Coturnix japonica: one gene and its partner. The protein of the gene in region 1 purifies or fractionates together with the protein of each later gene. This does not show direct contact. Links are inferred from orthologs where the notes say so. Each region holds a gene or a part of one and is shown on either strand. Other genes may lie near its edges.

The links.
Region 2: the proteins of LZTS3 (region 1) and DYRK1A purify together in Homo sapiens (affinity purification with mass spectrometry; 3 studies listed by BioGRID and IntAct, with this or other methods). This does not show direct contact. The link is inferred for Coturnix japonica from reciprocal best matches to the Homo sapiens genes LZTS3 and DYRK1A.

The regions. Positions count from the first base shown.
Region 1 is NC_029519.1:80,345,177-80,348,687, forward strand, and holds part of LZTS3 (leucine zipper putative tumor suppressor 3), read right to left. Parts: coding exon 3,297-3,511; intron 1,712-3,296; coding exon 881-1,711; intron 1-880. UniProt on the Homo sapiens protein: May be involved in promoting the maturation of dendritic spines, probably via regulating SIPA1L1 levels at the postsynaptic density of synapses.
Region 2 is NC_029516.1:96,407,780-96,411,789, reverse strand, and holds the start of DYRK1A (dual specificity tyrosine-phosphorylation-regulated kinase 1A), read right to left. Parts: upstream 2,809-4,010; 5' UTR 2,702-2,808; intron 1-2,701. UniProt on the Homo sapiens protein: Dual-specificity kinase which possesses both serine/threonine and tyrosine kinase activities. Exhibits a substrate preference for proline at position P+1 and arginine at position P-3.

The DNA.
Region 1 (3,511 bases):
GCTCTGCTGAATGCCTCCAAACAGTGCATTGCAGAGCCCTAATTAATCCCACTTTCATTGACTTTCCATCAGTATTAGCAGAATAGGGCCTTCTTGATTCTAGAGCTGCTTTCTATTTTCCACTGCAGCCTTAATAATTTTTAAGTTTCTAGCCAGTCCATGGAAGGATTAAAATTCTTTGCATGATCAAGCTGAAAAAATAAACCCACCAAAACTGTGTTAGCATTGGCTATTCAAAGGAGGTTTGATAAAATGTTCTAAAAATAGAAACAGAAGAAAAAATATATAAGACCTGGAAAGAGGAACTTGCCTTTCAGCCTTTTGAGAGATCAACTTATTAGCAACTGAAAACAGTGCGCTGCAATGGAAAGCGTGAGGTAGACTTGGCTATTGGTATCACCCTTAGCTCATTTGCTTTATATCCTCGAGAAGAACAAAAATCAAATATTTGAAAAGCCATCTCCAGCTTTGCCCAGACGCAGGTGTTTGAAGAATTTAATTAAAATAGGCTTAAACCCAATTTTGGGAGGCACAAATACCTGTATGGAGAAATCTTTATTCACTCTAACTGGATTCAAATGTCCCACATTGCAGTGACCTGACAGTGAAGCCTAATTATTAACCAGCACAGCATGTGCACACACACACACAAAAATTGCACTCATTTTATTTTAATTGAAGACTGAAATACCCTTCCCATCTTCCTCTCCTGCCAGCCCTGTCTAAGCCTCAGACACATAAAGGTGACCGAAGTGTCTCCTGTTATCTACAGGCCACCCAACCACAGCCCTTGTCTTGGGCTGCTTGTGGGACTGATGGAGGCACTTTGGGTTATCAATGAAAACCCCACTCAGGATTTCTTACACAATAATGCTCTTACCTCCCACTTGGTCTCTTCAATCTTTGGGAGAAACTCAGCCTGCTCCTTCTTGAAAGCCACAAATTTCTTCTCCAGCTCCTCTCGCTGCTGGAGGAGTTGCCCCATGTCATCTTGGAGTTTTTTTTTCTCCTGCTGCAGCTTGAAGATCTGGAGCTGCAAGGCCTGTTGTGCCCTCTGCGCCTTTTTGGAGACCTGCTGCAATTTGTTGGCGTAGTTTTGCCTGAGATCCTCCATTTCCCGCTCCCAGATCTTCTGCTTCTCCTCAAACACTTGGAAGATGGCTGCCTCGCTTTTGTCCAAGTTCCTTCTCATCTGCAAGACCTCCTGCTCCTTCTCCCACAGCCTGTCTTCCAAGTCTTGGATGATGTCGTCCGTCGAAGGAGAGTGGAAAGGCATTGTTTCATTGAGATGGTTCAGTCTGTTGAACGAAGAGGTGCTCTTGCTCGAAGACCGGCCGCTGTCTGAGGTAGATATCCCATTGTATCCCACGATGTTCTTGTCCGTGTAGGTCGTGCCGATGCGGTTGATGTGGCTCGTCGAGGCGCTCATCGGGCCCACGTGCTGGCTGTAGCCTGTCCCATACGTGGGCAGACTCGTTAACGAGTTACGGCCCGAATCTGAAAGGCCTCCCACTTGGTTTGTAGTCCTGTTAAGGCTGCTCTTGTCGAGTCCGCTTTTGGGTGCAGATGGGCTATTGCTGTTGGTGTGGTTCAAGCTCTTCCTGTTCTCTGTCACCCCGTTGCTCTGCGGCGGGCAGAGGTTCTGCATGGAATGGAAGTTTTTAGGAACTACGGGTTTAAAGGCTGAGGGTCTAACTAAGGGCTCATTGCTCTGCAAAAGGAAAAAGGACCACGCATCAAAGACAGCAGGACATTTGATAATGACACACACAAAAGATACATCAACACAGGCTGGGTCTGGTGGAGCTGAGGCCTCTCCAGCTAGCTAGTTCCATATTTCTTAGCCCTAACACATCCTTGGTCATTTAGGATTTAACACGTGAAACCTGAGAGGAGTTGGATACTCATAAGTTAACAATTCATCTTCCTTTGTCCCTGTTGAAAGAAGAGCTTGACCCATCCCAAATCTGCATGATTTTTTCCCCAGAATACTCAATTCAACCTCTTACTGGTGCTCTTTGCTAAAAGAAAGGCTGTCACCTGCTTATCAGACCTGATAAAATAACTTTGATTTTGGCAGGTTACGTTTTGAAGGACACCTAGATTGGAGGCTGCATTTCCCTTCTGCTGAAAACTGAATTAACCCCATGGATGAGCAGCTGTCCTGCTCTTGAAACACTAGGCAGTCAGCTCCTCTACGTGGATATCATATCCTTCATGCAGTAGGCAAGAGTAGGTGGGATCTATGGCCTCATCATTGTGATGCTGGGCAAGTAACATGCTGAAGCTGCTCCCGATTTGAATTGTTTGTTTCCTGTGAGCAGACATGATGCTGGAGAGAAAATGGACTGCAGCTGCAAAGGATTTACAGAGGATTTTAGAACCTCTGAAGTCTTGCACATTCCTCTCCCCATGAGTGCACCTACAGAAATAAAATTCTCCTCAAAATAGGATTGAGTCTCTCCCTACTGTGGGTTGGGCTTCAGGTGAAAATTAGCCCAGAGGAATCGACCTTGTATTTGAAAGTGCCTTGCAGAAGAAACACAATGAGTCCTGATGAGCAGAAAAGGCTGGAGACCAAAAATCTGGCATCTGTCACGTGGGATTGAGATGGACTACGGGAGCCATCAGGTTAATGGCCCACGAGACAAGGCCGCCAAATGCTGCTGAAACGACACTGCTTCTGGCAGCCTCCCTTGGACACAAATTATGGGATCTGCTGGAGCACAGCAGCAGGCTGCATAAAACATCTGGGCTCTGGGCATCTGCTAAGCTGATATGAGCCACAAGGACTGTGCTTGGACAGGGAATAATGTTTGCAGGGGTAGTTTACAAGCCTCATCAGATTGCCCCTCACCAGAAGCACTAGGATTTTGAACGGATACACACAGCTTCATTCAAGTAAGACCTTTTTGTGGCAGTGGGCCATAGGAGATGGCCTGTAAATGGCTCCAAAATAAGAATTTGACTGATGCTGGGCTGACTGAAAAGAGGACCAGCTCCAGTTCTCCCTTCTGTCAGTAGGAGAGATAATCACAGTAACTCAGGTGGGTTAAATAATTCAAAGAACTGGAAGCTTAGCTCTGAAAGACTTATTATCATGCTATTGGATTTTTCCAGAACTAGCATTCTCCTTTGCCCCACAAAGGTAGTAAGTATTATATGAATTGTAAATAAAAATTGACCATCTGCATAGTAAGAATTAGACTGTTTGTCAGAATTACACCATTAACTGGGTGGTGCTTTTAGAGCCAAGTCACAACCATTACACTGCTCCAGGAGGCAGGAGTTCTCACCTGGTCTAGTTTGCCGGAGATTGGCAATATCTTTGGTGGGTTACTGGGCTCTCGGTACTGGGGAGGAGGCGGCATGTTCTTCTCATTGTTGGTGGTCACATTCCCACAGATGTCCATCTTCACCTTCTCACTCTTACGCAGGTCACCGTTGATATAGAGGGAATTGGAGACCTTCTCTGACTTGTAGGTCTTCTCCTCTCCGGAGTAGCGGTTGG
Region 2 (4,010 bases), on another chromosome or scaffold:
TACAACGAGATCTATTTACAAAAGGATTTCAGTAGTGATACAAGGTTTCCATGCTTCCATAAAACAAAGGTATCAAGAAAACTTTTGACTTCACTTTAGAAAACAGTTGGCCAAATGGCAATAAAAATGACTGCAGGTAGACTAACCAAGAACATCAGCTGGAACAACTTTAACCCCAACTACGGGACTGCAGGTTGGAAAGCACCTGAAATAAAGCCACTTCAAGAGGAACACTGAATAGAGAATCTAATTATAGCAACAGAACTTGCTTCTTTGCTGAGAGTCACCACCCATTTCAGTTCAGATAAAACTATAAAACGCCATCACAGCAAACAAGGAATAGTTCTTGGTGAGTTTTATTAACTGGTCTTCTTGCACACAACCACACAAGCAGGTGTTTCATACACATTAGCATAACCTATTCAGGACTTTCACACTTGGTAAAGCACTGGCTAACTTACTTGAACTAACAAAAACTCCCAGTAAATTCATTAAGGCAAAGCCTAACGATATAGTTAACCCAGACCCATTTCTTTCCAAGGCCCTGCTGGAATCAAGCTGTGACATACATGCTAGCAGCTACGTCCTATTTAAACACAATGTTAAAACCTAAGTTTTTACTTGATGCCAGTCATGTTTTTCTCCATTGCATAAACCATCTACCAGTGTGTAGGAAGTTATTTACGACCATCATATGCTCACTCCTAGTCCGTTCACAGCCCACGTGCTTTAAAAATTGATAAATTCCTGATTACTACATCCTTATTTGACACAAGGAAGATCACACTATCCATAAACTGACACTGAAATAGAGACCACTTGGCTGCTATTAGGTAAAATTATCCTTCTCGCTGCTTCTCCGTAACTGTCCAACAGTGGGGGAAGGGATTCCAATGGCAAACTCCAAATACACCTGAGTATTGATACAGGAACTGGAATATGGCAACAAACTTTCTCACCTACTGGCCTGTAAACAATATTAAAGAACCCAATGTGTGCATACACAACAACTTAAGAGAATGGGCTGCATCCTTTTGTGATTTAAGAAGACTGTGCTATTGGACAGCTCAGTCAAAAACGTTTAGGAAATACGATTGAAACTCCATAAGCTTCATAAACTTTTATTCAATTTTTAATTCGTAGAACAAATGTAAATCCAACATACGAACTCTACTACTGACCATGAATGAAAAGGCTTTGATTCTAAATATTTTGTATAAGCGAAAAACATTAAGCACAGCCTACAAAAGTAGCCTACACATACACACACACAGAGTTCACAAGATACAAGTAGATAATAGAAATACTAGCTCGTGTTCACAGTTATCTTCAGCGTTAGCATTCTAATTCTATAAAGTATAATTAATTTTCCAAAAATACCCAACCTACAGATGCTGGGGGGAGTACAGATAAGGAGAAACAAGTTCTACCAAAACTTCTTCAGGCTACGTTATTCCAGTGTGGTAAGTTACACTCTACTCAGTTACTCACAGATAATAAAGTACCGCTACAAACAAAACATCACTTTATTCATCCTCAAACATTACTGATAAATTCTTCAGCTCTACCAATATAATAAGAAAACGAGCTGTTCACTTATCCAGATCCCCTACGACGCTGAAAGCCACGTAAAAGCCACTGTGTGCACCTACTGGCAAAAGTTACCTGCACGCTCCCATTGGGACTACAACAGTAGGTTGTCCAAGACATTCCTGTCGATTTATTTCATAGCCAGATATTCTGCCTTTGTTAATTTTAATTTTAAAGAACAATGAATGTTTATTTCCACCGATGGCTGTGGAGTAACAGGAGAACTAAGTAACAGCAGCAATCTAGACACATGATCAAAGGACCCCTACATGGCCTTTGGGCAGACTAAACTCTAAACTTCAAAGCTGATCGAAACTCAAAAATGCACCAATTTCGAAATTCCAAATTACAGCAGTTCTAATTGTGTTTTCCGATTTTGTGGCAACGGGAGGGAACACCACAACGGAGGAAAAAAGAACCCCACACATCACAGGAGGTCTCTGGCACCTCCAGCAGCACAAAGCTCCATTCCTAGCGGGCTGCAGCCAGCTACTGACACCCCGCAGGTCCCGGTGCGCTGCTCGGCCGCCGCTCCCCGCTCTCCCCAGCGCAGCCCGATGACAGCAGCCTCCTTCAGGTACTCCTGCCCCGGCCCCAACTCCCCCCGACCCCCGCAGAAGGTGCGGGCAGAGCCACCACAACAGGTGCCCGCCGCGCTGACGGCCCCGCTCCTGCCACCCTCGTCTCCCCGCTCCCAGGCCGGGCCGAGACCCCGCTCCCGCCCACCGCAGGGCGTTGCGCATCAGAGCGAGAAGAACCGGGCGAACTCCCTTCCTTCATCCCCGCTCCCGGGGCCCGGCTCGCTCGCATCCCGGTAGCCTCTCCCGGACACCGACGAGAAAAGGGCCGCAGAGGCCGCAGTCGCTGCCCCGGCCTGTCCCATTAGGGGGCGGCGGACGAGAGGGCGGGGAAGGGCAGCCCCGAAGCCCGCAGCGGCTCCGCGCCCCGCCAGCGCCGGGCAGCGGCCCGCCGGGCCCCGCGCTCTCCCCGCCGCCTCTCTCTAAGATGGCAGCGCCGCTGCCCCCTGCGCTGCGCCCCCTTCGACCGCGCCGGGCCGGGAGGTGGCACCCGCCGGTCCCGCTGCGCAGCGCCCCGCCGCCGGCTCACTCACCGTACGAGCCCCGCGCTCCGGCCCGGCTCCTCCCGGCAGCGGCCTCTCCTCTCCTCCTTTCCTCTCCTTTCCTTTCCTCTCCTGCTGGTGCGGCGGGCAGAGCGAGGAGCGAGCGCTTCTTCTTCTTCTTCCCCCGGCCTCGGCCCGGGGCCCCGGCGCGGCGGCGCCTCCCTCTTGCGCGCTCCGCAGTCCGGCCGGCCGCCCCGCCGCGCTCGGGCCCGCTCGGCCGGCGGCGGTGCCGGTGCCGATGGCAGGGTCTGCCCGCTGCGCGCCTTCTTCTCCGGGCGGCGGGGAGAGGTGGGGGGGGCCCGGCCCGGCCCGGCGGGCGGATCCGCGGCGCTTCCTGGCCGGGCTGGATTTTCTATCGCTCACAAAATGGCGCGCGTTCCAAACCTGCGCAGCGCCCGGCGGCGGCAACGGCGGGGCCCGGCCTCGCCTCGGCTCGGTGAGGTGCGGCGGTCGACGGCGGCCTGAGCCCCGGCCTGGCAGCGCGGGGACAGCGGCGGGCGGGCGGCGAGAGCGGGCGGGGGGAGGGGGAAGAGGAGGAGGTGGTGGAGAAGGAGGGGGTGGGGGGAAAGCGCAGCGCTGTACCGAGCCCCCGGGAACTCCTCGCTCCCTCCTCCCTCCCTCCCCCGCCTGCCAGCCTCTACCTCCTCCCACCCCACCCGCTCCTCCTCCTCCCTCCCGGAGCGGCTCTGCGCCGGCACCGCTCCCTCACAGCGCTCCGCAGCGCGGGGTGGATTTCCGGCAGACCCTCGGGGACGAATTATTGCCCTTTTTGGATATATACATATATATATACATATATAAAATTGAAGGTGTTCTTCTGTTTTCTTGTCTTTCGGAGTGGAAGCGGGGAAGGGGAAAATAAGCGAATAAATTAAAAGAAAACCGCCACCACGGTTCGGGCGGGAAAGGGTTTGGGTTTTTTTGTTTGGGGGTTTTTGGTTTTTTTTTGGGGGGGTGGGTGGAAGGGGTAGGTTAAAAAAAAAAGGCGAACCGACAAAATGGCGGCGGGGCGAGCTCGTCGCTGTGGCAACTGTCCGTCAGGGCGCCCTGCTGCCCCACCCCGCCCGGGCGAGCGGGAGGGAGACGGCGCTGACGTGGGGAGGGAGGGAGAGAGCGACGGGTAAAGGGCCGGGCTGCCGTAGCCCGGCAACCGCTGCTTCCCCGCCTCCCCTCGGTGACGCTGTGACGCTGTAGCCGTGCGGGCCGCGACGCTGCCGGCTGGGATGGACTCGGCTCGCCGGGCTCCGGGGCGTGAGGAAGGGAGGGAGGGAGAGGCGGGGACGCTGCCCGCCACGACGGT